Neodiprion lecontei: one gene and its partners. The main gene of each other region encodes a partner of the protein of the gene in region 2 in a complex. Links are inferred from orthologs where the notes say so. Each region holds a gene or a part of one and is shown on either strand. Other genes may lie near its edges.

Evidence for each region.
Region 1: the proteins of splicing factor 3B subunit 1 (region 2) and splicing factor U2AF 50 kDa subunit are in contact, whole or in part, in a crystal structure (PDB 7SN6), measured with the Homo sapiens proteins. The link is inferred for Neodiprion lecontei from reciprocal best matches to the Homo sapiens genes SF3B1 and U2AF2. Residues at the interface, in NP_036565.2 of Homo sapiens: Ser336, Arg337, Trp338, Asp339, Thr341, Pro342, Ala343, Met346; in NP_009210.1 of Homo sapiens: Met383, Glu388, Glu394, Glu397, Ile398, Asp401, Val402, Glu405, Gln447, Gly448, Leu449, Thr450, Gly451, Arg452, Lys453, Phe454, Ala455, Val459.
Region 3: the proteins of splicing factor 3B subunit 1 (region 2) and splicing factor 45 are in contact, whole or in part, in a crystal structure (PDB 2PEH), measured with the Homo sapiens proteins. The link is inferred for Neodiprion lecontei from reciprocal best matches to the Homo sapiens genes SF3B1 and RBM17. Residues at the interface, in NP_036565.2 of Homo sapiens: Arg334, Ser336, Arg337, Trp338, Asp339, Glu340, Thr341, Pro342; in NP_001139019.1 of Homo sapiens: Leu309, Met312, Val313, Asp319, Asp321, Leu322, Glu325, Thr326, Glu329, Leu372, Arg375, Tyr376, Phe377, Gly378, Gly379, Val382.

The regions. Positions count from the first base shown.
Region 1 is NC_060261.1:3,588,102-3,600,932, reverse strand, and holds splicing factor U2AF 50 kDa subunit, read right to left. Parts: upstream 8,140-12,831; 5' UTR 8,003-8,139; coding exon 7,981-8,002; intron 7,893-7,980; exon of another isoform or gene 7,878-7,892; coding exon of another isoform or gene 7,853-7,877; intron 7,126-7,852; coding exon 6,875-7,125; intron 6,762-6,874; coding exon 6,501-6,761; intron 6,422-6,500; coding exon 6,271-6,421; intron 6,185-6,270; coding exon 6,129-6,184; intron 5,576-6,128; coding exon of another isoform or gene 5,552-5,575; exon of another isoform or gene 4,397-5,551; intron 2,928-4,396; coding exon 2,646-2,927; intron 2,546-2,645; coding exon 2,381-2,545; intron 2,257-2,380; coding exon 2,125-2,256; 3' UTR 856-2,124; downstream 1-855. Other genes in the region: uncharacterized protein LOC107224427, read left to right, coding at 412-495, 586-740; ankyrin repeat domain-containing protein 27-like, read left to right, coding at 9,364-12,177. UniProt on the Homo sapiens protein: Plays a role in pre-mRNA splicing and 3'-end processing. By recruiting PRPF19 and the PRP19C/Prp19 complex/NTC/Nineteen complex to the RNA polymerase II C-terminal domain (CTD), and thereby pre-mRNA, may couple transcription to splicing.
Region 2 is NC_060262.1:17,194,310-17,204,189, reverse strand, and holds the start of splicing factor 3B subunit 1, read right to left. Parts: upstream 4,768-9,880; 5' UTR 4,545-4,767; coding exon 4,517-4,544; intron 4,200-4,516; coding exon 4,021-4,199; intron 3,894-4,020; coding exon 3,807-3,893; intron 1,677-3,806; coding exon 1,550-1,676; intron 1,528-1,549; exon of another isoform or gene 383-1,527; intron 1-382. Other genes in the region: FACT complex subunit spt16, read left to right, coding at 7,953-8,021, 8,104-8,208, 8,874-9,038, 9,467-9,619, 9,705-9,851. UniProt on the Homo sapiens protein: Component of the 17S U2 SnRNP complex of the spliceosome, a large ribonucleoprotein complex that removes introns from transcribed pre-mRNAs.
Region 3 is NC_060260.1:29,028,610-29,037,955, reverse strand, and holds splicing factor 45, read right to left. Parts: upstream 4,712-9,346; 5' UTR 4,568-4,711; coding exon 4,451-4,567; intron 4,251-4,450; coding exon 3,939-4,250; intron 3,666-3,938; coding exon 3,222-3,665; intron 2,995-3,221; coding exon 2,707-2,994; 3' UTR 2,640-2,706; downstream 1-2,639. Other genes in the region: gamma-interferon-inducible lysosomal thiol reductase, read left to right, coding at 805-918, 1,154-1,369, 1,452-1,772, 1,923-2,009. UniProt on the Homo sapiens protein: Splice factor that binds to the single-stranded 3'AG at the exon/intron border and promotes its utilization in the second catalytic step. Involved in the regulation of alternative splicing and the utilization of cryptic splice sites.

The DNA of each region.
Region 1 (12,831 bases), on a different chromosome or scaffold from region 2:
TTAGGATTACTCCTAAGATACTTATACGCTGAACAATTTTGTCCGATCAATGTAACAATTTTTTTAAAATTGTACAAAGTGCTATTGAATGTAAAAGATAGCAAGGCAATGTATTGCTTCTTCGTCAACGGAAAACTAGCTGTGGGTCAATTCTTCTTCATGTTCTAATGAAACTACCGAATATCTTGCAATGATCCAATGTTGTTTGATATTTTGTTGCAGTTATTCTCATTTTGCGAATTACAGTCACATTAGAATAAAAATTGTACAATTTCACGTCCTCAAACTTCGTCCTAACGAAGTAAAATCAAAAATATACCTCGCAAAAATGCTAACTAAGTATTTCACTCGATATCAATAAATCATTATTCATCCATTAATCTACACGTTTGATCTCCTCATGTAATACAGTGATCATGGGAATGTTCATGGAAGAAGTTGAAGCAAGGCGTAAAATTCTCAGAGGACGTAAAACAATAACCAGACGTTACTACAGTAAGTAAATTAAAATACAAACAATCACGACAAGTTTTACGTTTTTTATAGAAAAATACAATTGAAAACTAAACTCTGATCATATTTCAGGAGGCACCGCAATTCCAGCTTGGTCAATAGTTTTGATGACCGGTATTGGAATGCTGATTATCGGTGCTGGTTTTTACGGCCTGCTAAAAAGGCTGGTAGTGGACAGCGTGGATACAGACAGTTCTTACCAGCCTGCGTTGCAACAAGAAATTTAATTTCTACTAACACACTCAAATAATCACCCATTTATTACATCGTCTTGATACATTTAATTTTACGTCAATATAATGTTATTCTTATAGGCGAAGAAACAAAAATTTTTTTTTTGGAATCCGATCTAAAAAATTCTCCATTACGTCTCTGTGGCGTTGTGATTAAACATCATACAATAAAACAAAAAACTTGTTATTCCCACTCAAGATGATACAAATTTTATTTATACCCTTTCTATATTATATTTATATTTACATGTATGTCTTTGCCAATAAAGAGCGAAAAATTAGGATTCTTTGTTTCAATGTAGTCATTATTTTTTTTCTTTTAATTTTATTTATACTGATTGGACGTTAGCCTATACTTTAGGCAGTAGCGACAAAATCTAGGTAATATATTCTACCAATTGTATTAATTTGCAAATAATAATGCATGGCATATTAATAAAATTCACCATAAATCATGTATATATTAAATAAATAACATATTTTGCGCAAGATTTTGCCCCTACTTTTCGGGGACACATAGGTATTAATTATTCATTATAAATAATGTTCAATCAATCATTATTTGTCGACTTGCTGAAGCAAATATTCAACTCTCAAGAGCATTGGTTGCACTTGAAAGAAATTATTATGAAAAACAAATGACCTTATATTCATACGGAAAGGTAACCGCTGATTTCCGTACAGATCACAAGGAAGCCATAAAAAAGAGACCGTACCTTGTGCCCGTATTAAATTAAAGCACGAAACGACAATTTTGCGACTCACAAAGAAACAATATTATTATAAGAGTTCTGCTCGTATTTGCTTCAATATTAAATGAATTGCTCTCAAAGCTCGTGATAATTAGTAGATAATTGTTACTCCGTTGTGAAGAACGCTGGATACGTCTTGAAAATCGTCAATAGACCATTGTCACGTAAGCACAAACTTTGCCTTTGATAATTATATAAAACTAAGAAGAGGGAAATATCGAAGGCAACGTTTAATCTCATGTTATCGCGCAAGGTACTGATTCTGTTAGCCATAGCCATATTTACCGTAGTAATGTTGCTTTTGTATATGATTCACAAGAAGAGAGAGCAAAAGCAGAGAGATATTTAAAAAAAAAGGGAAACGCCCAATGGATGGTCCAGCATAGAAAGAAAAAAAAAATGTTAAATTTAAATGAGATACAACTTCTTCTAATCATTTGAAAAGTGGGAAACTAAGAATACTTTAAAAATAATATCAATACACTGATTTAGTAGCACTTGATCATAGTTAAAAGCATATCAATTAACGAATAACATACAAGTAGACAAAATTTTTGCTACAATGACAATTGCGTTCAATTTCTGATTATTTATTGACTGTTACGAGGAATGGAACTCGTATATATTTAAAATTCTCGGCGATGGTACTTGTCAGGGTCAAAATAGGACGTTACAACGACTCGATTGTTGAACTTTCGTCCAGTCAACGTTTGCTGTGCCTTTTGACAGTCTATCACGCTGTTGAACTCAACAAAAACCTGGAACAAAGTTAATCATTGATTAGACATAGTTTTACAGACAATATGGCAGTTAATCGATGAAATTCGGAGAACGATTCATCATGCTGTAAATAATTGCATAAATATTGATAAAACGCCGAACCTTTCCACATCCAGGAACATCAACGCCTTCGATGGGCCTAGGAATTTCTACTGACCGAACGACTCCATATTTGTTGCACTCCTCCTTGATGTCTTCAAGAATATCTTCATACTCCTCCTCTTCCATTAATTCCTCAGGTGTTACCATATTGAGTAAGCATAACACCTAGAAAAATTTTATTGAAGTAGTTCAAGTAAAGGTTCAATTTGGTCTGACGATCACGACAAAAAGAGAACTTCTTCAAAAAAACAAATGTCCCCTGTACCTCGGTAGCTGGACCGCTAGTGCCAACCATCGAGAGACCAGGAACTTGAATTTGAACTGGAGCCTGAGCGCCGATCATTGGATTCTTAGCTCCGACGCTGGCCCGTTGTACAATAAGTTTTTTATCCCCAAGCTGCATCCCATTGAGCCCAGCTATAGCTTGATCGGTCATCGTGACATCAACGTACTCGCAAAACGCGTATCCTTTCGATAATCCTGTAGCTGAATCCTTCACCAAGTTGAATGCCCGGAGTTGTCCAAAGCTCATCAGCAGTTCCTTCACCTGTTATTTCATTATCAATCATTTCAAGTATTAATTCCGAGGTATCCTGATTAAATTTGAAAGTGGAATGTCTATTTTGAAACATAACGATTTTGCTCACTTTTTTTTGTCAAAGTCTGGCATATTCTCAGCAGATATCAACGAATCGAATTGAACGCAAAAAAAGAAACAAAATTGGCTCTATCATGATTATGAATATTCAAATACTTCGTATATCAATGGCAAGAATCTGGTACAATAGCAATCTACTTTTTTTCGCGTATATTGTTTATTTATAAAAAGAATTGAAGAATCGATCTATAATCTATGTTGTTCACCTGTTCCTTTCTTGTGCAATTTTTTAAGATCATCTACAACCACTAGCCCCAGCAAGTGTTCTGTTTACTTTCATTGCTTTCATAAATGTCACAATATACTTATATTTACTGATGATGTATCATATACTATTAAGATAATTACAAATAAATTGTGATGGAAAAAGTTTATTGTTCAAGTAACAAAAAGGAGGAATTTATTGCTGATTGTTAAACCAATTTAAATGGAAATCGCGTATCGTTACAATCTATTAACTACACGCAAACACTTGTAGAAAATAAATTGAATAGGGATTTTCGTTTCCACTGAGAGAAATAAATCGACTATTTCAATGTTTTGTTTTAACAAAGTTTGCATTTCGAAATAATCATTAAAAAAATGAATGTGAGGAATGTTGAATGTTTAGCACGCCAATGTGCTCGTCTATCTATTTTTAAACGTAATTAAATGATATGGATAAAATTTGTACATGAGACGATAACGCATTTCGATACATGAAATACAAACTCTTGAATATAAAGTTTGTACCAAATGCAACACGAAGTGCGTTAAGGTGAGGGTTTGTGATAAATGTATTAATATGCATATACACATAAAAATACAGAATCGTGGGTTGTATACTGCACTAATGCGCACTACTATACCTTTTGTCTACTTACAGTGTTGACATTTTGTCAGAGACACTGGAAACGTTGTAGTTTTTTTTTTTGTTGATAACAGCACGTTAAACTTGTATCAGTAAATTATACAATTTCAACCAAGTAAGTCATCTCTTTTCATACAAAAAAAATAACTGTCACATCCAAAGATGCGCAAAGTTAAATTCCATACACATTTGTACATAGAGGCCAAAGCCAGGTCTGACAAGTATGGATCACGTGCTGTCATCGTGAAACTCTTAAAAATCTAAGATACGCACCAAATTCAGAAGCCATTTAACGGTCGCCGTCCAAGTGGCTGCAAAAGTCTCTTTCCAAAATGTGAAAACAAGCAAACTGATATGAATACTTGCCTCAAGAAACCAGACTACCCGCACTCCGGCAAGTGTAGTATTTTGTCATGTTCAGTAGTAGTAGTAGAAGTGGTAGTGGTAGTGGTAGAAGTAGTGGTAGTGGTAAGCGAATGCTTTTGATCGGCACGACCCTAAGCTAAGAAATGGGGAGAAAGAGCACTGGTATCAGTCCACATTTTCTTTATGTTTCCAAACGATTTTCATTTTTGTTGTTGATTTCTTGTACTTTTTCTTTTGTTATGTTACGGTTATAAGATCACTGTTATGCTTTTCATCATAAATTTAACAAGACACTTTTTTTGACTTTTTAAATCCTTACTTTATCATGAAAAGAAACATTAGTTTCGTTTAATATACAATTATTGGCCTGTAAAAGTTGAATGCCTGAAATACGTAGAACGTGCCTGTAAAGAAAACAGCTGCAATAGGAAGGAAAAAAAAGTATTCCTGAAATATATGATACTGGATAAAAATCTGTAGTCATAACCAGATGCACCTAAAAAAATACCTGTAAACCCACCCAAAAAAATACCCAATTCTCTATGGACTGTCCACTCATTTCTCCCGCAGACCTAAAAAAAAAAAAATATTCAACAGCCGGACATGAAATTCTAACAAAATACCAGAATTGAATTGCTTCCAACTTTAGCTTATGAGCAAAAAAACAAAAAATATACGATTCAGAAAGGAAAGCAAGTTATATGACCAACATTGTACCATTTCTCCCTTCATCTCATTCACCTTGTGAATAAACATTTTGTAGAGTTTCCTTTTTTGCAAATAAGAATTTAAAGCAATTATTCATTTTGTTTTGTTACAATTGAATATCCAGACGTGTTGAGATGGCTGAAATGACCCCCCTGCCCGCCCTGCCAGCTTCAGTTTGACCATTTCCTTCGATAGAAAAAAAAAAAAAAAATGTCTAAATCCTTAGGATAAAAATTACAATCGGCTGGATCCACCGTACGAACGAATGAATGTACCTAGAAAGGCTGTAAAAGAAAAACGTCACTGCGACAGCGTGCCACCTAAAAGCTGTAACGCCACTAGCCTCTTTGCCCTAATTGTACGACATGCTTAATACTCGATATTTTGAATGAATCAAAAAATCTTTTGCACATCGACAATCTTTGCACACACCTTTCAAGTACAGTCTTATCTGATTTCGAAATTCGCGGAAAATTGATTAAATGCGAAGGTAAATGAGTTTCCTGGATGGACAAAAATACACAGGCGTAACTTCATTCGAAATCTCGTAGAAGAGGCAAAATGAAAAATGAACCCCTACATTTCTATGCTAGCTAAACGACCCTAAACGACGCTGAAATCGGAACAATACATACCTCTCAGGAATCTCACACACGGGTGTTGTACGCAGAGTCTCTGCCAGATCGCTAAATACCTAGTTTACAATTTAATGATTTCTTCTCACTTGTAGCGGTGAGAAACGATATCGTAATATGCATTTATTTGCTGAAACGATACCGATCCTCAAACCCCCACCAGTGTTCACTAAAAAATATTTCAAATAATATTACGGGGATGTTTCAAGTCTGGATTTTGCGTTTACCGTCTTATCATGATTCGAGGAATAGCAATTTGAAAATTTCTTTGCATTCGGTATGTTAGTTCATCAGTTTCACATTGAATCTTAAAAGCTGAGAAAGAGCTATGTTTAAAGCGACTAACTTACAACATTAATTTTCCAAAAGCAAACGAGAAAAAAAAATATGTTTGCACAAAGCAATAACCAACGTTCTCCACAAAAATTGATGAAAAAATTAGCATCCCACGTAATATGCACAGATAATAAATGATAATGAACCCAAACAAGTAAATATTGAGTTTGTACTTAAAACATCTGGCTGACATACCTGTTCCTCGTTCAAGTAGTTGGGCAAACCGCCAATGAAAATCTTGTGTGGTGAATCTGTAAAAAGAAAGAAGTTCTCCATGTGACCAAAAAAGTTGTGCTCAATTTCTGACGTGCCATTACATCTGACCAGAAGCACATACCAGGAATCGTACCTGGCACGTTCATGCTAGGGTTATCTGTCATGCCAGGCATCGGCTGGTAATCGTGCGGCCTCCTTATTTTCAAACTTTGTCCTTTGAAATTAATGCCGTCGAAAGCCATTGCTTGTGTCGTTTCATCAATGGACCGGAACTGTAAGAAATATACATCAAATGACATAGTGGTTCGGTAGAATCAATTTAGTCAAAGCCAGTAAATGCGGAGTAAATACCTCAAGGAAAGCAAAATTTTTATCAAGATTGATCTGGCAGGCAAGTACGGGATTTCCAGCAGCCTGTGCAAGGCCGGAAAGATGCATCTGCTGGTTGAAAAACTCCATCATTTCCTCTTCTGTAACTCCGAATGGAATGTTTCCGACATAAAGTCTCCTAGCCTGACGTGTTATTGTGCTGCCCACAACAGGTACTGCTGCCTGAGGGGTATCAGCTACAATGTTCGCTGGAATTTGTCCTGCAGCTTGCATAGCTTTGTACTATAAAAAACAAAAAGATTGAATAAGATTTGGAATCAATCTAAGCTTTGAAATTGAAACTAATGGCGTTCGAATTGTCAAAAACCACAAACAATTTTATATTACTGTATCACCTGTAATGGCGTGATGTGTTCGAAACCTGGTGGCGGAACATCCCAATAAAGAGAGGGTTTTCTCCTGCGAGAACTGCGACCCTTTTTAGGTGAGCTGCTCCGTTTTCTGTCACGACGATCTTTTGAACGAGACCGTGACCGCTTCCTACGGTCCCGACTCCTAGATCTGTGTCTCCTATCTCTGTCTCTTTCCCTCTCCTTTTCTCTATCTGGTCCTCTTTCCTGACGCTCGCGATCTGCAAATGACTCTTCTGGTGAATAAAATGATATCCATGCTTTATTATTTCTATTCTCAGTACACATGTCATGATAATAGAATTATTTAAAGTTTAATTTTTTTTTTTTTCTTGACATGAATGTTGTTGCCCAAGTCATTTCTCAACTAATTTTAGCCTTATCTACTTTTACCATAAATGTTGTTACCTTAATAATTTCTGAACTTAATCTAATCTTGGAATTATTTACTAAAGGAAGCAGACACATTGTTTTCAACTTATTTTAGAAAAAGAAAGGGAACGAATAAATGAAACAATTATCAAGTATCGGATTGTTCCTTGAAATTCAAATTCAAACATCGCTACCCAAGCCATAACATATTTCTCCGAAATGAATACTTCAAATGCAAATTGGCCAAAAAAAAAAAAACAATGTATAGAGTAATTTTCGTACAAGGGATCATAACCAAGTAGATTAGTTTACAATAATAGTGTCAAGAAAAAATTACCGCTAGTCGAGGGCTAGTGAACCTTTCTGGCTTGTTAACAACTGAAATAAATGACATTGTGACTGTGACGAGATTTTAGAACCCTGCCCACGATGATTGCCAGTATAATAGGGCCAAACATGGAATTCATCCCGACAGCGAAAGGCGGCTCGAAGGCTTATCAGATTCCATTTAAGTTTCGAATTTCGTACGGTGCAAATCGTTGAAAGGTTGGAATGTAAGTATACGTTGCGAAATAAGATCCGTGTGTTTACTCGGTGTAATAGACGCTGCCGCCATTACTGAATCTTATTATAAGGTTGCAGAAACCGCCAGGAGACCACCGCCGAGGAGGTTAGTACGGGGTCTGAATATGTATTTGATTTAGGGACGATATTCTCACCTCCATTGAAGTCCTCTCCCATTGTGAAAAACCGTAAACAGCGATACTATTCACAACAATGAATATCACAATTATTCACTATGCGTAACACGACGGGTGACACCTTATTTTAGAATCGGAATATCGGCGTAGCGAGCAGCCAGATGACGGAAGTGAACAGTTTTCGATTTTCGAGAGTTATCGAGCGACGAAACTTCTGTAGACGCCAAAATGGCCGGCAAAATTGATTCGGTCAATAAACATCATTGAGATAATAGTAATTATTATCCAATGATTGAAAATTTATATAATTACTGGGATATTTAAAGATATTATAAAGAATCGCAACTATTTCCAAAAATATTTGCAGAAAAATGTGCAAGTTATATCAAGCATGGGGCGCATGGCATATATAACTATTTCCTGTTTTAGATTGATAATTATGCACGCAGAAGCAACGCGCCGAATTCACAATTATCCAAACTAGATCGTAATATCACAATAACAGCTACCTATCTGATAGTATTGGAAAATTATAATGAAAGAAATGTTGAGCCTCCTTTCAACTCGACCTTATTATAACCATCATCGGATTTTTTCTGCAGTATCGTACTTTTTACGTTAAATGAAAAAAAATCATAATATTACATATTCGCGTTATATTTTACGGCTCGCGATTGGCTGGTCAAATTATAATTTTTTATTACGGGGGAAAAATTTTGAATGAGAAAAATCCAGCAATTTGGATCACTCACAGAGTCCTGTAATATAATTTAATTTACACATCACCATGCAGCTGCTGCGTAAGTCGCTTGTATATAATAGGAAAGAAAATAAGTATCTAACGCAAAATAAACTGATAAAAAATATTCCCAACTTACAAATTCGTAGAAGTCTAAAGCAATCTTGTTGAGCGTATATCGACATAACTAATAGCAGATTATATTACAAATAAACATAAAACTACAATATAATACTATATTTATGATGTCTGCGTGTTTCTAATAATCCATCGCGTTAAATAGTTCTAAAAATGAAGGTTAAAATAAAAAACAAGTAATTAAAAAAAAAAAAGAACAATACGAAAGCGATGCATTTTGATGCAATCTATCCGATTGTAAATATTTTTCTCTCTTGCCATCTGTTGGATTCGATTTGCAACAGTATGGGTTAGAGGCGTCAATTATCGACTGGTGAACAATATTAAAAAAAAAATAAGAAATAAAATAAGACAAGGCAAAAAGTCGTTGATAAGTAACCGTTGACAGCAGCCAAAGCAGAAAAATTACAATAACAATTATTTATAATCGAAAGCGATAAAACGCAATGAAAGAAATACGTGAAGGAGAGTCGATACTTTTGTCGAAAAGTGTACGGATTCGAAGAATAAAATAAATTTCATTGATGTGCCGTTGTGTATTAACCTTATTTTCGCACTTTTTTGACGTTCCTGTGCCTTTAGGCCTTTGGCGTCGAAAGCAACCTCGACGTAAATCGAATAAATGTCGTAACAAGATATTTTTCCCATATTCTTTGCACAGCAATTTATATTTCGTTAAAAATCGAGACACCTCATCATCAGCGACAAACGCATGGGATCATATAAAAGATATGGAATCAAATTACGACGAGGATCTGAACGTGAATATATTTTTTCAACAATTGCAGCATGAGTACACGAGTGTATTTGAAAAGGCGGTAAACGAGGGTTGGGTCATTTGCGTTCCTCGTTCAGGCAGCTTTTCCCGAGGCTCTCTCCTGGCCGACGACTTCCTCGGACACATTTTGGTACCAAGCGAAGAGCTGCCAGCTACTCACTTCCGAACATTGACTGGCAAGGAAGTGAGGCTATGCAACAGGGTCCTAACTGTAGATTACGATATCGCAAAGCCATGCACAGCGCATATATTATTCGAGGAAACCTTCTATACCGAAGATTCACAGAAGTATCGAATATGGTGTGTCGAGCGGATTCTGGAGCGAAGTTCTATCACTTCGTACGAGTCCCTGCCCACTTTGACAAATCTCAGAGAATGCGTAGATTTTCTCTGGACGGAGATATTGAACAAGGAGGTGCTCGAAGAGCTGGATAATGCGGTTAAAGAATATCAACAAACTGACCAGGATCAGCTTGAAGATAAACCGTTGCAAACTCAGCGTGATCTTGTTGCTGGTTTGTACGCGAAAAGCCTTCGCATTGTTCTCAGGGATTCGAGATTGAGGGAGAAAACAACTGCCAGTAGGCATTTTCTCAACGGTATAAAAGTCGCGGTGGAAACATATGTTCTTTACGGGTTGAGGAACCTCTTACCAAAATATGTTTCCGCTTGCACCGCCTTTGATGATGCGTGTCTTAATAAAACGATTAAAAACCTGCACGAATTGCAACTACGGGACCTGGGCGTCAGATCTGATCTTTACGGCGGCGCAGTTAGAGGAAAATTGGAGCTGGCAAGGCTCGATGGTTTCGCAACGGTTCTGGGAAAAATAGGCTGCCTTAAACGTGCGGTTCACTTTGCATCACAAGGTGAGAGTTCAGTTTCATCAGACGATTTGCTTCCAGTTCTTATATTCTTGGTGATAAGAGCGGGTCTGCCTAATTGGATAGCTCAGCTAACGTTTATAAAACAGTTTAGGTTTTCATCGACCTCAGAATATGAAACTGATGAAGCTGGCTTTTTGGTTACTTCTCTTGAGGCAGCCATTGAGCATATCAAATCTGGAATGTTGACAGGATCAGTCCACCCTGAGGCAGACGGCACGTATGAATACGTGTCTGGTAAAGACGAGCTGGAAGAAAACAGAGTGGATGAAGTATCAATCAGTCATTTTTTTGACCAAGTAAAACACGGAAATACGTCAGAAGTTGAGAGAATACTGTCTAAGGAAACTATAGATAAAATTAGACCGCCAAATGTTAAGCTATGTCATCCTTTATGCTGCTGTGAATCGTGCGAAAAAAGTTTAGCCAGGGACGCAAGGTTCAGTTTACCTACCGTTAATTCCAGAGATGACAGAGGATTAACGGCCCTTCATATCGCAGCTTTATACGGTCAGGCTAACATGGTGGACTTGCTTATAAGTCACGGAAGTAATGTTGATGAAGTTGATGCGGATGGTACTACTGCTTTGCACTGTTCAGCTGCCAGAGGACACCAGAATACATTACTCTTATTACTTCATGCTGATGCCGACCCGAGAATCACAGATGCTCACGGGAACACTGTCCTCCATTTAGCGGCTGATAATGGTCACGAAGCCTGTGTCAAGGCAATCTTATACTTTTTGGAGCACACTAAATGCCCGATAGATCCAAATTCATCAAACACTAACGGAGACACGCCGCTTCATTACTCCTCAAAATGGGGCTATACTGGAATAGTGGAAATCCTTCTGGAACACGGAGCGCAACCCAGAGCTGTTAACAGAAGAGGCCAAACTCCGTTGGTGCTAGCACACAGTACTAGCATCTCTAAGTTATTGGAAACTGCGGCGCACAGAGAATTTTTTTCGACACCTCGCCTGGTGCCAACCCAATCTTCACCGGCGATGACGCAGTCGTTGAAAACCGAAAAGCAATTTGAGCCACCTTATTCCACAGAGAGACTTCGCAGAATTGAAAGACTCTTGTCAGCAATTTCTGTAGGTGATCTTAGACTGGCTTACTACTATCTCGGCTTAGAGGGACCTGATCAGAAGCTTGTACAAACTACAGCACCTGCGATGTGCCACCCACTTTGTAACTGTGAACAGTGTACTTTGATAGAAGAAGTTCCCGAGGAACATCAGCGGAAGCCTGCCTTAGGAATAAATAGTCGGGGTGGTGATGGCCAGACTGCTTTGCATATTGCCAGCGCAACTGGTCGTGCAGAGTTTGTTCAGTTACTGTTAGACGCAGGTGCAAAGCTTGGTTTTAAAACAAAGTCCAGAGGGCAAACCCCGTTGCATTTCGCATGTTTAAATGGTCGACTTGCTGTAACAAAAATACTTTTAAATAGCGGAGAATGCGATGTCAATGTTAAGGATAATTTTGGAGACACTCCGCTCCATTTAGCTTCCAGGACAGGCAATGCAAAACTTGTTGAATTGTTAGTTAGACATGGAGCTAATCCTAAGATTCGTAATTCGAAAGCCATCACTGCACTAGAAGAAGCTGAAGAAAAAGTTATGGTCAGTATAGCTAGAATACTGAATGAACAAACCGCTGTTTCTACTTAGCTATTTGTTGCAGCTGTTATAAAAATTACATACCAAAACAGTAGACTACGCATATTGCCTAATAAACAGTACCAATGTTTATATTAATACTTAATATTCGTGAAATAAGTCACTAAATGGCCATGGTCTTTGAGAAACCAACAATCGTTATTGAAATTTGTATTATTACCAGTGTTTAACATTTGTGAATACAGTTCACTGAAGAAAGTGCTCTCAAAGATGAAAAGGAATAGCTGTAGTTTATACTCAAGTTATTTTATATCTTGAATCACGCTGATAGGCTACAATTTTTAGTTTTATCGAATTTAGGTCCTTTTTTTCTTTTCAGCTGTTAGCCACGAGCTTAAGTACAAATCAACATAAGCAATAATGCATGCGTACCAAAATTTCGTTACAAATTACAGATTACACATGAATAATGAAATCGCGACAAACATTAATAATTAGACTGATTCTTTAGTTTTTATTTTACCACAAACTTTAATATGTATAGTATATACAATAATGTATGAATCGTGTAAAATATAATATATAATATACCATTTTTTTGCTATGTACAGTTTTATATGGTATTTGCAAACATGTTACTTAAATATATATTATGCTTGTCATTATTGACTGTTATTCGTAATCAATTAACACGTAATTGGTCAT
Region 2 (9,880 bases):
TCTCTATTATGAAAAGGAAGTTGGAAAGAAAACAAGTAACATAGAGAATAAACAGACATGAAAATGAAGCGTGATACAGATTACAATGTAGTTGCGTAAGTTCGCAGTCTATGTAGTAGAAGTTACGATTTGATAAATTTATATTCAGATTGTCACAAATGTACTGACTTTCAGGATTTAGAACATTATCTAAAACTATCTAGTCCATGTAGGTGAACAGAAAAAATTTGGTACTTTTCCAAGTTATCTAAAGTGTACCAACTTCAGTATTTTATATAACTATTCACTAAAATTTTGTTGCATGTCTTAAAAAAAAGTTTCATCATATCTTTTATTGAAACAGACAATCTTTAAAAATGGCGACGACTTAATGTCGTTTAACCTTCGACATAGTATCCTGGGTAAGTAGATGATTCCAAATGTGCAGACCGTCACTAAGATTGGAAAAAAATGTTTACATTAGTATGTATTTTCAAGAAACTCACTCGCTCATTCCATTCAAACCCCTTACAATTTTATTGTATCTTTACAGATGTTTCGTACTCATTGAATTCGCAAGATCCCTTCGGTTGGTCGTAAAGAGGAATGCATTGCTTTCTTCTGTGAAAGTCAATTGGTAATATCAAATTTGACTTCAAGATTTAACTGACTCTTCAAATACAAATGCCAATTTTCCTGTTTGATTTCATTAAATAGCCAAAGCACAACTAGTCATGTAGCAACACATGCATGGAACCTCAAGATGGTATTGAACAGTCTAATGAAAGACTTTTCACTATTCCAGAGATAAGGTTGACTTTGTTGAAATGAAATAATTCAGTTATCCTTTGTAATACAAATTATATCCATGCAAGAAATATCCAAAATCTAATTGCTACTGCACGATTCCAAACATGGGATCTTGTGGTCTTCGACATTATTTTGTTTTTTCCCAAACATTTATTGGCAAGAAATGTCAAAGTTGATTAACCTACTGTCACACGCCGCAGATTGTAGTTTTGGATAATATCTTCATGCTTGAAAACAGATAGGCCCATTTTTATTCAATGGTACATCATCAACCAGAAAAAGGATTTTCAAGTTTCAACAAGATTTGAAATTGCCCAAATTATCATATGATGATGAAAGGTACGAACAATAGCAATGTGAAAGTGATAAATTAATTAAACTCGACCAAGCAGTATTCAATGAAAGCACGTAAATGAAGCGACGCACGCTAAAGTATTAAATCCACCCACTCAATTATCTGATAGTTATGATGCCTGACAAATTTGCGTAAGATGTAAAAAAATGTTACATTTCCATCAATGAACAATTCTGCAAAACCCGATCAATTGTTGACTTCACGGTTGTGTAAACCGTATGCATTAGTCTTGAGACATCTGATTAAGTAAATAAATGAGGGGATGCATTAAAAAATATATTGGAAAATGAAGTCACAAAAATAAAATTGTTGTATGATGTACTTATGGGTATAGAATGTATAAATATAAATCACCTGCAGTGTACTTAAAATGTAATTTATAGCCTTACAAAAAATACTACCAACCTTCAGCGAATGGATCGACACGTTCTGGTGAGATGATCATGCGTCGTCGCTTTTGCCTGTACTCATCTTCTCTATCCGCAATTGTCGGTCGTCGTCTATCAGCAAACGGATCATAGTCCTTTTCACTCTATTCAAAATGAGCAAAAAATCTATTTCAAAAAGGCAAACTGAAGGGAGGTTTATGTGATACAAATTACAATAATCTCAATGTATCAATATACTCTCAGCACTCAACGAGGAGATGATCAAATAAAGCAAGACAGAGTATCTACTGAAATGTAAGAAATATTCCTTGAGAAATACAGATATTTCCAGGAAATGTAAAAAAATTTCTAAACATAATGCTTGGTCTAGATATGATGTTTACATGGCAATCTGCAAATCCGGGTCTTACAATTAGATAATATTAATGGGTGTAAATTGAATTTTCAAGAGCATCGTTATTAAACTGAACTATCACTTTCTATCTACCTGGGAATAAATGTTTTTATATAATCAGATAAATTCATGTGAAATTATAACGCAAATTTGAAAATATTAACTTAGATAAAATTATACAAAATCACGTGAAATCACATGCATATAGTTTTATATATTTTCATCAGGTCAAATTCTAGATATAATTTCATAGAACTTTCTCTGATCATATGAAAACATTTTTCCCAGGTAAGCTCAACTTTGATAAGATGCTAAATTTCCATTTGTAGATTAATACCGCAATTTTTCATATGAATGTCAACATTGATATCTTCATATTTTCAGTTTTCAAATTCTGAAAGTGATTACATAACCATTACTTAATATTTAACAGGATTACAACATTTAATTTATTGATATTGTAAAAAGTATCGATCAGGAATGACATGGTATCTTAAAATGACTTTCCCAAAAACTTGAAGTCAGATGAAGTATCCAACTACACTGCAAAACTGCCACACTTGGAGACAGTGTCTCAAAGATGAAGTTAAAGTTGATAACGATCATGTAACAATGAACCTTCAGGATAAATTATTATTTCATAACTTTGGCATTGTCTGAAATTAAGTAAGCCACAATAAAGCAAATCATACTCTTGTTGTGAGAACTCAACTGTTTCAAGTCTTTTCAATATTACAAGATAGTGATATCTTTATTAATGACTAAATCTTATTTTGAAAGCATGCATGGAGACGGAGCATATCCAGAACATCATTTTTTAGTTATGGATTGTGAAACAGTTGTACAGTCTTGATATTTTTAGATTTCTTATTTTTTTTTTTGGTACTATACAAACTGATGAAATCTGTTCATGTGAATATTTAATAGAAAAAAAAGTATATTCGCAAAACTCAAATATTCAATAACTAAAGAAAAAAGATGTTCAATGACATGGTATGCGTAACTAAAAAAAGGAATACTTTTGAAGAAAAAATTATTCAGCTGTTAAATATAATCATGGATTTTAAAGGAGAAATAGCATGATGTGATTTAGTTTGATTGTAAGAGGAACCCTTAGTTTTAGTTTTTTCATAGAGAATTTTTTCTCTTCTCGGGCCCCATGACAAGGCCATATATCTAGGTTCGACTATAATGCCAATGTAATAGAACAATGAACACGAAGTCACTATTTTACAATATTAAAATAACTTCAAGAGTTGAGTTTGAAGAATATGAGTGTTTTCTGCATTGTTATAGTTGGCCGAATTTCCGACAACCCTAGTTATAATTAATGGTTTTTACAAAGTGTAATTGTTACATTTACATTACGAATTTCAACCTTGTAGAATTAGGTGCTTCTAAGCGATTGCGGAAACCCCTATGAATTAAAAAAAAAATCAGATTGGAGAGGAAACATTCTTAACAGGTTGTGGAATATTGTGAAAAATATTGATAATTAGATAACACTTGTTATTGAAATTAAATACGAGTAGTCATACAGGAAATGAAAAATTAGTCACATTTTGAAATAAATGGAAGTATCATCTTTGGTCCTGCAATTTAAGTAATTCCAACTATTTCAATATGACTGATGTTACATAACCCCCTCATTGACCCCAACCCTTTTGCGCCGCCTCTCCATAAATTTGGCAAATGGAATGTATCGGAAAACTTATGAAATAGATCAATTTCAAATCTTAAACGGACAGTTTCTCTATAGTTACAAAATGAACAATTTTTACAATCCTGTTGGACCTCCTGAGACAAAAGCAAAACTCGTTTACTTATACTGCAAGTTTTGACGGTCTGGCATTCGAATTTTCAGTAAACCATTATTTACCTGAGCAACATCATTAAGCAGCGCTGCCGGAGCATTGTAGCCTGGCCTCTTGCTTTGACTAAATGTACTTGGTTCATAATCTTCATCCTGAAAAGAATATTTTGATCAGACTTACGTATACCTGATTATTTCAATTCTTCATTATCCCCATTCAACCTAAACTATTTCAATTTTGTTTGGCAATCCGTTTTTGCGAATAAACATAGATATTTACCTCAACCTCGTCATTAGCTGCAATAGAGGTGACATAACCATCGTATTTGTTGTTGCTACCATCGTATATGTCCTGATCATAGAATCCAGTCTTTCCCAACCCTACTTGCTCTTTTTCAGTCAGCTCTTTATTCTGTATCTCCTTTTTCGATTGTATTTCACGGATCTGAGCTTCGATGTCTGTAATGCATGTAAAAGGTCATAACGGTGTACGACTGTAATACAACTATTAAAAACTATATACCAATTATAACCGTCAACTGTTTAAGGTGTGTTGTGTGTATGTCGGCTGACTTTCTTACAGAGGATATATTGCTTATTTAGGTGTGTGCCGGGAGTGTAAATATTCGGCGAAAATATGCAAAGAAATGAAAGTGTGCATCATCAGTAATACAATACAATATATTGTCAAGCTTCGTCGGCGCGACGTTATCAATTCAACATTCTCAGCTCAGGTCATGCCTCGGCTAGCGTGAAGTCTAATTTGCAAAACCTACCTTCGTGGGTTCGTGGAATTGAATCCATGGCTTACAGCCTTCTGCGCACTATTTTACAAATATTGCTTCTTTTATACTGATCGAATAAACAAGCACTTGCTTCTTCACAAATTTACGATTGACCGACACACACAAGGCAGAGAGAATCTGAATCGACTGAACAGGTAATAACCATGGATGTGGGTGATAACAGATTTACTACGATCAATTAAAATGGCGGGCAAAGCGTTCGGTTTATTTCATTATTATGATTTCTTGTGCTGTCATTTGATAGCGTTTTCATTACTTCGTGGCGTTTTCTCATGCGAAGTCTGCATTTTCATGGGCAGTAAAATACCGCGGAAGGACTTCTGCTGCCTAGTTCTTAACCAATAGGAATACCAATAAAATAGGTAATTCGTATTCAGTATACACCAGGAATGCGTTCCGATCACGTTCCGATCCAAACATGTAAAGTCGTGGTTCCGATGCGTTAGCTCGCAGTGCTGTGAGGAATATTTTATAGGTGCGTTCCGGAATTAGCTGGTAGCGCTGAAAACTCCCCTAGGGCAGAGACAAAGCTACTTACGAACTCGGCAGCGCAAAAGAAATAAAGGCTTGTCAACAGTTAGTTTCGGAACGCACCTCTATTTATAAATAATAACACCCGTATTCATAGTCCCGCCTTGTCTCAAGGATAAAGGACGCCTTGATGAAGGCTTCCTTAATCTCAGAGGCGTCCTCGTTTCATAGTCACAACTTGGCTCTCTCTTCCAGAAAGAAGACATATTTAGGGATATGTGATTGCTTATGGTGGTAAAACTGCTGATCGAAGCGCCACTCGGCTATATTTAAATCTAACTTAATCTGCTTGGCTCTCATTGTCAAGTTGCGTCGGTGATGAGAGTGTGTATAACCTCAAAGAAGTTAACCTGTAGACTGGCTGTGATCCTGCGTCATACGGGTCATAAGTGCATAGACGCCAAGCGCAAGCGCAAGCGTTGGCTACATGAAACGAAACAGCCAATCGCAGTGCCGAAGATTTCCTCAAGGAAGCTCGAGACCTGCCTTGAAAGAAGGAGGCCAATACGGCTACTCTGTCGAGGAAGGTCTATGAAACGTGAAATCAACCGACGCAACTTGACAATGAGAGCCAAGCGGATTAAGTTATATTTAAATATAGCCGAGTGGCGCTTCGATCAGCAGTTTTACCACCATAAGCAATCACATATCCCTAAATATGTCTTCCTTCTGGAAAGGAGAGCCAAGTTGTGACTATGAAACGAGGACGCCGCTGAGATTTAATGAAGCCTTCATCAAGGCGTCCTTTATCCTTGAGATAAGGAGGGACTATGAATACGGGTGTTAGCTACACTCGAGAAGCCGACGTACCTCCCCAGCAATCCCTAGTACACTACCGTAGTTCTGTTTACACTCGCGAGTGTAGAGTGTAGCTAGCACGAACAAACCTGATAGCTCTGTTCGTTTTAGTTACAATTTCTACACTTTTTACACTTTCCTTAGGAAAGGGCACCTTCCATTGGCTAAATTCAGGGTAAGTGTAAAAAAAGTGTAGAAAAGTGTAACTAAAACGAACTGAGCTACATATACATGTGGGGTATGTTCCGACATACACTGCGAGCACTGTAAGGTGTGACGTCAATTTAGTATACTGCGAAGCCGGTCCTTTATAGTTAGCTATACTGGTTACTGTTTAAACGGAACGCAGTACAGTATACTGTGATCGACATTTTTTGGCGTTACTTTCATTTCATACATCATATTTGTTTCACACTGCAATAAACACAATTTATTCAAATTTTCCATATTTGTTTTTAACGACCGGTATTTTTAAATGACAATATTCAATAATAATAATTATCAATAGTGGAAGCTGTTAAATTTCTGAACGCTGTTGATCACGTGAGCAAAGCACTGATAGCACCTTACCTCGAAAACACCAGTGTTCAGAGTAGAAAAATGACGACGATTTATGACGTCATTTATTTCCCTAGGATACTGCAACTGTATACTGTCAGCCTATTGGGAAATCTGCCGGGGGCGTGGCTTCTCCTTGCGGCAGAAGCAGTAACTATTCTAAAACGCATTTTTAAATCAGCTTTCGTGTTCTTATGTGAAAGCGTGTATTTATTTACAGTTATTAAACTCGAATTTTCAAAAAAAATTCAATAAAATATGAAAATTTCAATACAAGAAATTTGTGAGTTTGCAAATACTCAGCCTAGTCATAAAAATTTTATTGGTGGTAAAGATATACTTGATGCGGGACATCTAATGAAATGTGGCCTACAGCAATCAGATACTAGTTGTGATAATGAGTATAAAATAATTGCATTCTGTCTCCAAACTTCTCGTTTAAAAGATCCACCGCATGAAGTTGTGGGTGCAATATCGCAACATTGGCTGCAATGGAAAATAAAATTTAATGTTTATTGTTTTTTATTTTTTCTGACAAATATTACACTACAAAAAATATCATTTCATATTGATGATAAACAAGTAATTATGAAATGAAATTCTATAGGTAATTACTTACATGTTGGTATGAAATCATTTTTGGCGAAATGTAATGAAAACACTTTTTTTGACTGTGTAACCTCATTCCCAATTTTCAATGCTTTTATCCAAGCTAATCGACGATCAATTACTTCATCTTCACCAAATTTATTTTTGATTACTACAAAACTAGAATTTGCCGAAGGAAAAGTGTAAAATCGAACTGTATTGTTCTTACTAGACTTGCTATTACACCCATACACGCAGCAGAAAGTTTTATTTTTATTTTCTCGTGGTGGAAACTCCATGATTAAATTTTTTGATCAAATATTGAAATTTAAGATGTTTTTAAGTAATAACTAAGCTTATAGATAATAATTGATTACTTAATATTTAAAAAAAAGTTTAACACTTTTAAACTACATTTCTCACATATTATATTTGATATCAGCAGTTTAAGCTTGACCTGCATAGAGTAGTTTATATTTGATCCGTCAGGTAGCGTATCTGAGTGGATGATTTCCCAATAATGGACCGAATTTCTCCCCAGTAAGACCACTGAACAGTGCTCGCAGTGTATATCGGAACATACCCGTGGTTGTTCCGGTCGGATATTACAGGGCTGTGAAAAACGCCTGTAAAAGCCACCATAACCACATTTCCGGAAATTCGGAAGGGATACAAGCTGCCCCTTCTTTCATATACAAACTCTCAGGCTTTGGTTGTAATCCCGCCATGTCCGCATCGGAAGTCGGAGTTTGAGCGTGCCGTCGGAATTTTGGAATCTTGGTAACACAAGTATGCGTGATGAGTTGAAGTTGAACGGTGTACCGTGAATGTTTCAACAAGTCTTATCATTCTCGCCTTAATTCAGAAGGAGTACGTCATCCTTCACATAATAATTTATTGTGTACAAAGATCAACCTAAAAACTTTGTACCATGGCAAACGTATCTCTTGATAAAGACACATTTTTCCGGCGAATAAAACGCTTATACGCAGCGTGGAAAGTGAGTATAACGATGTTAGTCTCGTTTTGAAAACTTTTACTTAATACATTGGCCTTTATAAACATGTCTACTTCTTATACAGGATGGTGAATCCGGCACGGATGATAGTTTTGCGAAGATGGATAGTCTCGTGTCGGCGGTCGGAATTGACGAAGATATTGTATACAGCAAGTCTACAGCCCTCCAGGTATGATACTGATCATATAACTAAATTTATCAATTATCCATTCTATATTTCTAGATGTATAACTATCATAAATTGTTTTACAGAGTGTACAAAAAATTAATGTAAACAAACGATTGAATCCAAGTTGTAAACATTGTATTATTCTTGCTTAATTAATAAATTTGGCGAAACCTAGAGTTCATGGCATTTGGAAGCACAGTATAGTCAATTTAAGGTTCAATTTTGGCCAGACCTATTTTTAACGTTATTGATAGTTTGAATTCGTCATTAATCGTAACCATTATTTAACGATCTTATGATATTTGTATCATTTCACGAAAGGTGTCTCTGGTTTGCTGGTCTGTTATTGACTGCAATTTTCATAATCTTGTCATCCGGCTACGTATACTGATAAAAAGAATTTTATCAAGTCAAAGTTTATAATGTCAATGTAAAACTATGTTGAGAAAAATCTCTATTTTGCAAACTCAACTCCTTCGAAGTAATTCTAAAGTTCCAAAACATGGTTCTTTATTCTTCAATGTTTTGTTGCATCAACAATGCAAACTACAATCTTGTAGAATTTTGATGTCTTCGATCTTTCACATCTTGAAACATCAATCTTTTCAATAGTTCTTCATGCCGCATATCTATAAAATATTTAAAGATGCATGGAACTTTTTCAGACTTGGCTACTTAGTTACGAGCTCACCGATACTATTATGATATTAGCTGAAGACTCGATCAATTTTCTTGCCAGCAAGAAGAAGATTGAATTTTTACGTAGTGTAGAAAATCAGAAAACTGAAGACACTGGAGTCCCTCCAGTAAAATTGTTTGTTCGTGATAGGGTGAGTAATTTAACTGTAGCATTTATTTGGAATTGAAGTATACTTAGCTCGTTAGATTCTGACCATCTAGACTAAGCATTATTTATTTAAGATATGGTCATAATCTAATACCATAAGCAAAATAAATTCTATCTCACAATGAAACTCACTATTGATAAATAATGTTACTCGAGAATATCCTGGTTACACTTAAATAAGATATCGAACAATATTACACTATGAAGATCAAAAGACATAGCAGTAGTGCAAAGTAGAAAGCATGTAAAGAGACTTCATTTTTCATGTTTTATCGCATTTTTAATTGTTAGCAGTAAGCCTTGAGGTCTGGTTGGTATATTTTAGTGCGTTATTATTGATCATTTTATTTCAAATGCATTTTAAAATTGAAATAAATTTCTTAATCTGAAATTACATTATTTGTTATATAGACGGACGAGGATAAAGCTAATTTTGCCAAGCTAATCGAGGTAATAAAGAACAGCAAAAAGGGCAAAACTCTGGGAGTTTTTTCAAAGGAACATTACCCGGGTCCATTTATGGATTCGTGGAGGGCTGCTTTGAAAGCAAAATCCTTTGAAACAGTATGCTAATTTAATTGTATTCATTTAACCTAAATGCTTGAATTTTTTCTGTAATTTTATTTGTCAACTTTTTTTCTATTTTTAGGTTGACATCAGTGCCGCAGCAGCCTATGTAATGTGCCCAAAAGAAGACATGGAAATATTAGCTATAAAAAAAGCTTGTCTAGTATCGGTAGACGTTTTTACAAAATACCTGAAAGACCAAATTATGGAAATAATTGATTCTGATAAGGTACTGGAGTTTTTTTTTTCGAAAGTACA
Region 3 (9,346 bases), on a different chromosome or scaffold from region 2:
TTCCTTAGTAAAAGGTAGATGGGCGCGCACTTACGGCCCGCATCTTTTTCTTTTAACATCTTTGTCTTTTCCTTTCCCCGTTTTCTTTTTGCCTTTATCTACGTCTTTTTTATTCTTATCCTGATTTTTGTCTTCCTTAGGTGCCATTGTCTTGTAATGATTATGCGAGAAGCAAACGACTGAAACGGATATTTAAAATTGCAGTAGAATTTAGCTATGAATTTATAATTTTTTATATTTTTCACATTTCCTAATTTCGTTACATGTTTGGTCGTGAATTACGGAGGAAAACAATATGCAATAGTCTAATAGAAACAAGTGATTAGCATATAATTACTAAGATAATATTTCCTGCGCAAATAGATAACGGTCATACTTGGGTAATTTTCATTTCATTTCAATAGGCATTCAAGCAGACTCAAACTTGATACAAAACTGAGTTAATCAAAGTATGGAGCGAGTGTTTGTATTGGTGAATTAAATATATGATATATTATCACGCCAATCGTACTATTAGATTGCATCAACAAGGGTGATATCGATTATCGGTAGATATCGAAATCGACGCCGCCATATTGGTTTCGAAATAAACCCTTGCGTACGCAATGAGTTTGCGAAACCATAAGGTTTCGATTAAACATGCGACGCAAGATTAACTAATACAAGCTCAGCCGTATTAAATATGAGAAGCTAACTTTATCTCTGTGTAAAATTAATTAAATAAACAATCCCGTCATTCCAAGTTTGCGTATGTGACCGCTTTGTCTATCGCAGTAGAAAGTGTTTCTTTTATTATTATTTAAAATGGGACTCGGAAGCTTTCGATACCGTCTAATAATATTACTTTGCACTGCTCTCGTTTTGTACCAGTCAGCCAAATATTGGCCGTCTCTCCAATTCAGCGATGATCCTTCCCAGGTAAGCACTACTGGAACATAACCTTACCTATTCGAACCGAGCATAAACTAGGGTTCATGCAAAGCAACGCTTGGCAATTCGAGCCCCAATTTTAGTATTGAACATAGTTAAATGGTTAAACCACCACCAGCCAACTTTCTCAGATGAGGTTTTTTACCTCTTGTTGATTTTAGTGAATCTTGAAATCATAGTTAAAGATTTTGTTTTGCTTAAACCTGCTTGAACACGCATTAAGTCTTCTGCAGCAAAATCACTGGCGGCCCAAGAGCTAGTCGAAGGAATAGATATAGCCGAGCCGCCAAAGACGGATGTACAGAAGGTGCTGGTCTCCGTGTATTATGAAGCCCTTTGTCCAGATTCAAAATTTTTTGTAGTCAAACAGCTATTGCCAACATTTCAAAAGATAAAGGAGAACCTGCAGGTAGAACTCATACCATATGGCAAAGCCAAGGTAAGTCGGGCTATTCTGCTTATCCCCATATGTTAGAATTCAATCTTTTGATTATTCAAGTTTTAATTCTTTCCTCTTTCAGACAGTCGAAACTCCCACTGGGTACGAATTTACGTGCCAACATGGGCCACTCGAGTGTGAGGCAAATATCATACATGCCTGTGTTATTGATCTAGTCAATGATCAGTTAATACAGCTCGATTATATTTCTTGCATGATCCAAGACAACATGCAACCTGAACGAGTTATGCATCAATGTGCTGCCAAGGTTAACCTAGATGTCACACCTATAGAGAAATGTTATAAGGGGACAAAAGGGAAAGAGCTATTGGCCAAGTTTGGGGAAATGACAGATGACTTGTCTCCCAAAGTGGTATTCATACCCACTATTACGCTCGACAAGGTAAGATAAGTATCTTAGAAATAGTTTTTATCTAAGATTATGCAATCTAAGAATTATTAAATTTCATGCATAATCTTTGTTGATATCGGTGTCAGTACAATTTCCTGATCATCCTTTATCTGTCATCCATCTTGTATATTTTTTTTCAAGGACTCGAGTAATCAGGCAGCCATTCTAAAAAATCTACTTAAAGAAGTGTGTTCACGACTGAATAGTCCACCTCTAGGTTGTGCATAGCATCTCATTGATGTTATCGAAGCTATGGCTGTAACAGCATAATTCTATATTTCAAACGATCTGTTCCTACATATCACGACGCTCACCAACGAAAACTGTGCTTGAATTACCCCAGTTACAGGGAAGTATATCAAATACATTATTTTACAAACAATTATTAACTGCGATTATGTATGAAGAATAAAAGCGTTACAATATGTTTGAACTAACTAACTTCTGATCAACTGCATTTTATAATTTGGATTTGCATTCCAAAACTAAATACAATGATTATCACCCCATTAAAGAAATCTGTAGTAATGAAAATGCCTATATACACATCATGTTTAGGGTATTTTTACTCACTAATCAATCTCACGGCCTTCGAATGTAGAGAAAATCATGAACGTCTGTATATTTCGTGATGAAATTACCCTGTATGAATTTAACATAATAGATAAGTAGAAACTCAAATCGAAATATTCGTGTATTTCGTATGATTCAAAATTACAATTGCCTATCAATCCAAACAACCAAAATTGGAAGTCTACGATAAGAAACCACGATTGCTAAAACCTACTGTTAAATGCAGTGCAATAATCATCAGCCGAATAAACAGGTAGCAATTACGATGAAAATGATTCAACTCAATTTTAATTGACAGTATTTTATTATTCACCAACGGCGCACATTTAAAAAAAATTCATGTATTTCAAGTTTAGTCCATCAATTGCAAGGTGTCCAATTTTTCACAGGAATAAAATCCAGCTCTAACTTGTCTTCCGCCAAAGAAGCGACCGTTTAAGTCTACTACAGCTTTGATCGCACTTTCTATCCTCTTAAACTCTACAAATATACGCACTGCCTCTTCAGCCGGGACGTCCATCACCTCGTGAATCATAACACGCGATACATCCCCATACTTTGTGTTACACTCGTCCTTGACTTCTGGCTCAAGATCTTCATCCACCTCACCTGGTCCAACCATATTTCGTAAGAGTACCACCTTTTGAAAAAAAAATTCACATGACTGATAATACTCATATACCCAGACTTAGTGGGAAACGTAAAAAGCAAAACGGGCATGGTGAAATTTCACAGCCAGTTGAACAAGGTTTGAGATTCGTATGCCTGTTTAAGATCATGTCATTTAACTAAAGAGAAACAAAATAGACCTGTACTAAAGGCAAATAATTTTGCGCAGACTTCTACGCATGGCACTACTATAATAACCTTGCTTGGTGATTTCATAATCTCTGTAATGCTTGGCTCCTCCTGAGGAACCACAGGTTGTGGAACAGGGGCGACAGGTAGTGGTGGCGAAGGTACCATGGGTGGTGGAGGAGGCATCAATTGTTCTCTTTCGCCAACTATCCTACCACCACGTTTGCTGGTTTTTTCTACTTGTAAAGCAACAGACATTCCCTGTTCCTTTTTACCAAGACCCTGGCCTTCTTTGAAGCCATATTTTGCCATGATCTTTGCAGCTACGGAGGAAGCACCGTAGCCAAGATTCGATGCCTGAGGTCGTGCTGGAGGTGGAGGAGGTGCTAGATCTGGTGCCTCTTGAAGGGATGGGGGAGGTGCTATAGCTGCGCCACCGCCCACTCCTCTCGAAGTTGGTGTTCTTTCCTCGTCTCTTTCTGGTGCGACCATTGTGTTGCTGCCAGGGGAAGTCTAAATTGGGATCATTTAATTATGTATATTGAAGAAAGCATGATTGTTGTTACATTCAATGGCTTGGAACAATCTGTACACAAACTGCTTAAATATGTTGGATATTCTTCATGATCTAAACTAGTATTCAGTTAAGACGACAATAGAGAAGAAAGAGCTTTCTAACTTTGACATATAAAATTGCCAGCCACAATATTGCTTATTTGAAACAAAAATCCAACGACTTAGCGATACCAGTAAAACAATGAAAATTGAAAAACTCGATTCCCATACCTGTGGATCTTCAAATCTGGTAGTGTCGCGTCTGCGTTTGCGTAATTCATTTTCCTGGTCGTGTTCTCTGTCCCGAATATCACGTAATTCCTTGACGACTTTTTCGTACTCGTTTGGCCACATTGGGTCATATTCATTTACTACGTTCCAATCAAACTCGCCTCCGACTCCGACATTATTTGTACCACTAAGGGTAAGAGAATTTCCTGTTTGTGAATCTTCGTCTTTCTCGCCATCGCGGTTAACCTTTGATTTCAAGTCAATCACAGGTGCCAAAACTGCCGCAGCTTTTCTGAACTGTTCTCTTTTTGGCTATAAAAAATTGTTCTTGATATTAGTCTTCAATTTAGAAGTAAATGCGAATGTTTTATTTTCATATTCCCGGCACGGAATAAATAAATCTTGAAACTGAAATGTTTTTTTGAAACGAAATTTTCGAAAGTTTTCGATAACGGTAAAACGTTTTGAATTATTGAATGTACTTACAAAGTAGCGGTTAAGTGAAATATTACCTGTGTAGTTGCCGCTTTTTTTAATTGCAGCTGGGACTGTAATAGTTTAATACCCGATGACCACCCTGCGACTTTTTCTGTTGTTCGGTGCTTATCAAAATCATCGTACAATGACATTTTTGTACTATTTCAACGTGGATGTTGTTGACATGTCAAATATAACCTTCAATCATTCAGTCTGCACTAGTCTGTAGCACGATTCACAGTTCTTGCAAGAACAACCATTGAATATAACTGAATGGAATCGTGCATATCGATGCGTTTACCAGCCCTTACCAGATAAAGCAAGTCGATAAATACAGGGCGCCACATATACTGATGACCGACTCTGCCGTATTTAGCATCATCTGAGCAGTGGATAAGGCAGGGCATATTTACCATAGCAGAGTGTCACAGTAGTGGTAACGAAACTGAACAAATCGCAAACATTATCACTTAGTATTTCTGCAGCAGGAAGAAATAATATACAATCTTTGTAAGCTCATAATTTAGTGTAAAATCTTATCTATCATCTACTAATACATCGACCTCGAAGGACTGAATCTAGGTAGCAATAACGATTCATTCCTTTGATAAAGTTAGGTACTTCTTTAACCAATATATTCATAAAATCGTTCCAAAAAGTAACTATCGCTCCGCAAAAATTACAACATCTACATTTACGAACACCACTGCTTACATATCAAATTATGTACAGATGCGTTATCGTTAACATTATCTTATTAGTTTCAATCCAAAGTTCGTACAGTGAGAAAAGACAAGGTTTGCCATTTCTTTCTCATTTATCGTTTATTTTTAGACACATCGTATTCGGCGAAAAGTTGTCAGAGAATTCATATTCACGCCTGACCACGATGTAAGTCTTTCTTGGATCGTGCGCCTGACGCAACTTGCTCCGGAAATTCAACAAATTCGGTCGCGTTGCGCGAAGTTCGCATGGCGCTTCCGGCCGATCAAGACTTGCTTCCGAAGGTTCCGAAGCTTCCGAGCAAAGAGGCTCTTTACATCTACCGCTTGCGTGATGGCAAGTATAGTAGAATACGAGTCGGTAACATGCAACTACGTCGAAATGTAGTTTCAAAAACCTAGTTTGTGTCGGATGACGCTTAAAAATGGAGGCCACACAAAACGCTAGAGTAGGCTCTCTCTATCAACTCTGTGGTCTGGGGTACCTTCGTGTGAATATCATCCGCCGGATGACGCTACGCTGCAATTGCTTGTACAGAATTTCAGGTAATTTTGTAGTCGTAATGTTGATAATGATCACCCCAAATTTTTAACGTTCAATTTGGAAAAGTGAAACCAACGCGCTATGCGATACTCGCTGAATGCATTAAATGTATCAAAATCTAATTGAACAAGTGCCTTTTTCTAGCCAGTCCGAAATAAGTAACGTACAGATCTCTAGTGTTTTGATTAAACCACAGGAATTTACTCTCCCACTTACGTTACTCTTGTCCTGTAATAACTACGTTCATACATGCATGGGAAGATACTTGGACATCGATATAATTATATTCTAACTTTGATCTCCCCTTCTTAATGGGGGGTCGTTTTTATACGCAAGCCCTATAGCTGATTACGGTTATAAAACTGTCGTAACATATTAAAACCAATGAAAGCATTTTTAACGAGAAAAACTACGACGACTAGTCGTTGGAACATGGGTCAACCATCTCATTAACTTATCATAGAACTAAGAGCCAGCTAAAACCTGTATTTCAAATTGCCAACGGGTTGCACGCGTACGTGACTCTGAAACAGTCACCAATGTGTACAGCCACTCAATAACTCCAGATCATGCGAAGTGAAAATTAAACTTTTATTTAAATCAAACTAAACCTCGCCTACTGTCTGTAAATTGACGATGAGATTTTTCTGGAGACAATCTGATTTTTAAAAGGGAGGAAGAAAACACAAAATAAAGAAAGCCTTAAAAAATTCTCGAACCATCAATTCATTGCATTTTTAAGACCATAATTTTATTACTCAGCAACATATAATACACATGATTGCAGATTATGCAGAAGATCATTTATTTTCCTTTGCCATTTCATTCTTCCGATAGTGGAAGGAATGACTGATAGCAACCAGAAGAGAATCGTGGGCAATGTAGGTACTTCCACGTTCAAGGTCGTATGTTTACTCTGATTTATCGTCGTACAAATACGTCGTAGGATTATCACTTATCATAGCCATATTGTTGCGTTATCGAGAACGTCTACCATTGTTCGCATATATACCTGTAAGATATACCGACATAGCTATATACATATATCTATATCCATACCATTACAACAAATTCACTTTATGATATACAGTTGTGGACACAGTATTCATTCAATAATACTCGACCGACAATGAGACGTCGTAAGATCCTTCGGTGAAAATAGTTTTCGTTTGGACACAAGTTCCCAAGCGCTGCCACGCTCGTATAGCTACAGCTGTTCCACGCACATGCAATTCGTTCGGCCGTTCCAAGTTTTTGCTGTTATCGCATTATGCGATCCGTGTGTATGGATCCTGAGCTGCACACGCGCTATGGCACCGGGAAGTGTCAGTGATGCCTGGTCCCTGTGGAAGTTGCGGTTGGGGGAGTAAGAGAAGGGGCGAACGAATCGATGAATGAACGAGTGCGCTCGTGTCAAAGGATATAACTGCAAACAATAAACATAATGATTGAAGTATCGAGGCTCGCCGGCTGCGAACAATTCAGGTACTCAAGTTTCGCTTCTACGATTTACGTAACGAGATACCGTTCCACGAAATGAAACGTCCGCACTATGCGAAGGCCTCGTCCATCCGTTTCAGACAAAACCAAAACCCGATGGGACCGCTGACGTAACGCGATTCAACGCCAGTGGTCCTCCTGCAACGTCCGTATTTCTTCGAACAGTATAAGGCGAATGAATGTATCTGCCCGTCGTAATATTTCTTCAAGGAAGTGTTGTAAATCCTTATATGCCCTGCAGTGCGTGCATATACACGTAAACAGGTATAACTCGCGAATAAAACTATCGCGCGACTCTATCCCCGAGCACGTATGGTATGCATATGCATGTGTAACGGTATTCGCGCAAGTGTACGAGTTTAGCGAGTAGTTTTCCGGCAACGAAGCGGAAGTCTCGTCTGTAAGTAAATGAGTCTCTGGAAGGGGTGAATCGGGAGCGAAAAATAAGTGGCAGCGGCGGCGTGCAGCTTGATAAATGCAAAGTTCGAACTTTCAGCTTCTGAAAGTAGTGGGTTGCGTAGCCATGTGTGTACGGGCTTCAAAGTTATTTATTAATAGCAAAGTTAACTCGGTGCGCACCGGCAGGGAGTGGCAACTGGCATCGGGTACCCGAGGAGGTCCGCGCGCTGAAGCGGGCATGACGCAGTGACGGGGGGCCACGACTGCCAGCGTCCCGCCCGAGTGCCGACGCCGACGCCGACGCCGCCGACTCTCTCCTGCCCACCGGGTGAGGCGCGCGGAGCCGAGCGGAGCGACGGACGCATGGACGGACGGACGGACGGACCGACCGACCGACGGACGAAAGGACGGACGCTTTGTCGGCGCCCGCGGCGGAGATCAAACGCGCCGACCTTACCCGCCTCCCTTCCCTCCCCCCTCTCAGATTCTATCCCTAACCGAGGAACCCCGCGCTGCGCCGAGCCGAGCCGGGCCGGATCGAGAGACGAGCAAAACCGAGGGCGAAGCTGCAGCTAGAGAGCGGTAAAAGCGTATTGCCGGTCTACCTGGACCGATCCTCATCGAGCCCTGCGTTCCTTCCATCTGTGGCGAATCGTAACCGCGATAGATACCGCTTGTCTTTATCGATTTAATTAGTACGGTTGTATTAAAAGCACGGGTGTGCGTATTATCTTGCGAGAAATACTCGCGGCCGCGCCGCGGCGATGATCCCGGTTATTAAAAAGCGCCCGCGTCGCCCGACACTGCAGCGCTGATCGTAAGGCGGAGGCTCGATCCGCTGCTCTCGGAACTCGATTCCAATCCTCGAGGCCTCTCGTAATGGGGATCCGGGTAAGCAACAGCCAGCTGTCGTCCCATACATCCGCGTACCCGTACCTTCTTCCTCGGCCCGTTGACGGCCCGCACCGCGATAAACACTCCGCGTTAGCCAGCTACGGGAAGTCTTACACCTTCAACTTCGCTGGATACATTCAGCTCGCCTACCTGAACTAATGTCGCATACCGTGCGTCGGCTCCGAACCGTCACGGCTAATCCGTGAGCTGGGAATATAAAGCCGAAGCGCGATTACACGATCGTGGCTAATTGGAGGTCTCCTCGTAGTAAAATCAAACGCTCAGGCGCAGCGCGCAGCTTTCGTTTCAGTAGCTTCGGACAGAATCTACCAACGTTGCAATTTATACAGTTATGCTATATTGGTATGTGGCTCGATTAATTCCCCCTGCAAATTTTTACACTTTGACCGTGTAACGCCTGTTTACGCGGGAATAACGCGCGGTTCAACCCCGGGGCTTATTTATACGCATATCTTCCCGCGTTTCAGCTTGGCCACAACGCCGCATTATAGTTGCGTGGTTCGGGGAGAAAGATCCCCGATTTTTCGGGACCCTGGGTTCGGTACTATTATTACCAACCGATATTCAGAGGGGAGCCTGTACCGAGTTTTTAATCCAACCATATTATTCTCTTTTCTCCACGGTCCCTCCTGCCCTTCGCCGCGTCTTTCCGAGGCTCTCTCACTCTTCTCAGCTTCTCTCTTTCTCCTTTTTTTCCTCTCTCCTTCTCTCTTCCTCTCTTGCTTTTCATTCCTTTTTTTCTACCTACTCTTTCCTTGTCTTCCTCGTTCCTCTTCCTCTCCCACTCTCGCTCACCCTCGCTCTTTCTCTCTTTCTCCCCCCGGGCCCCGCCTCACCACATCGCCGTCTCC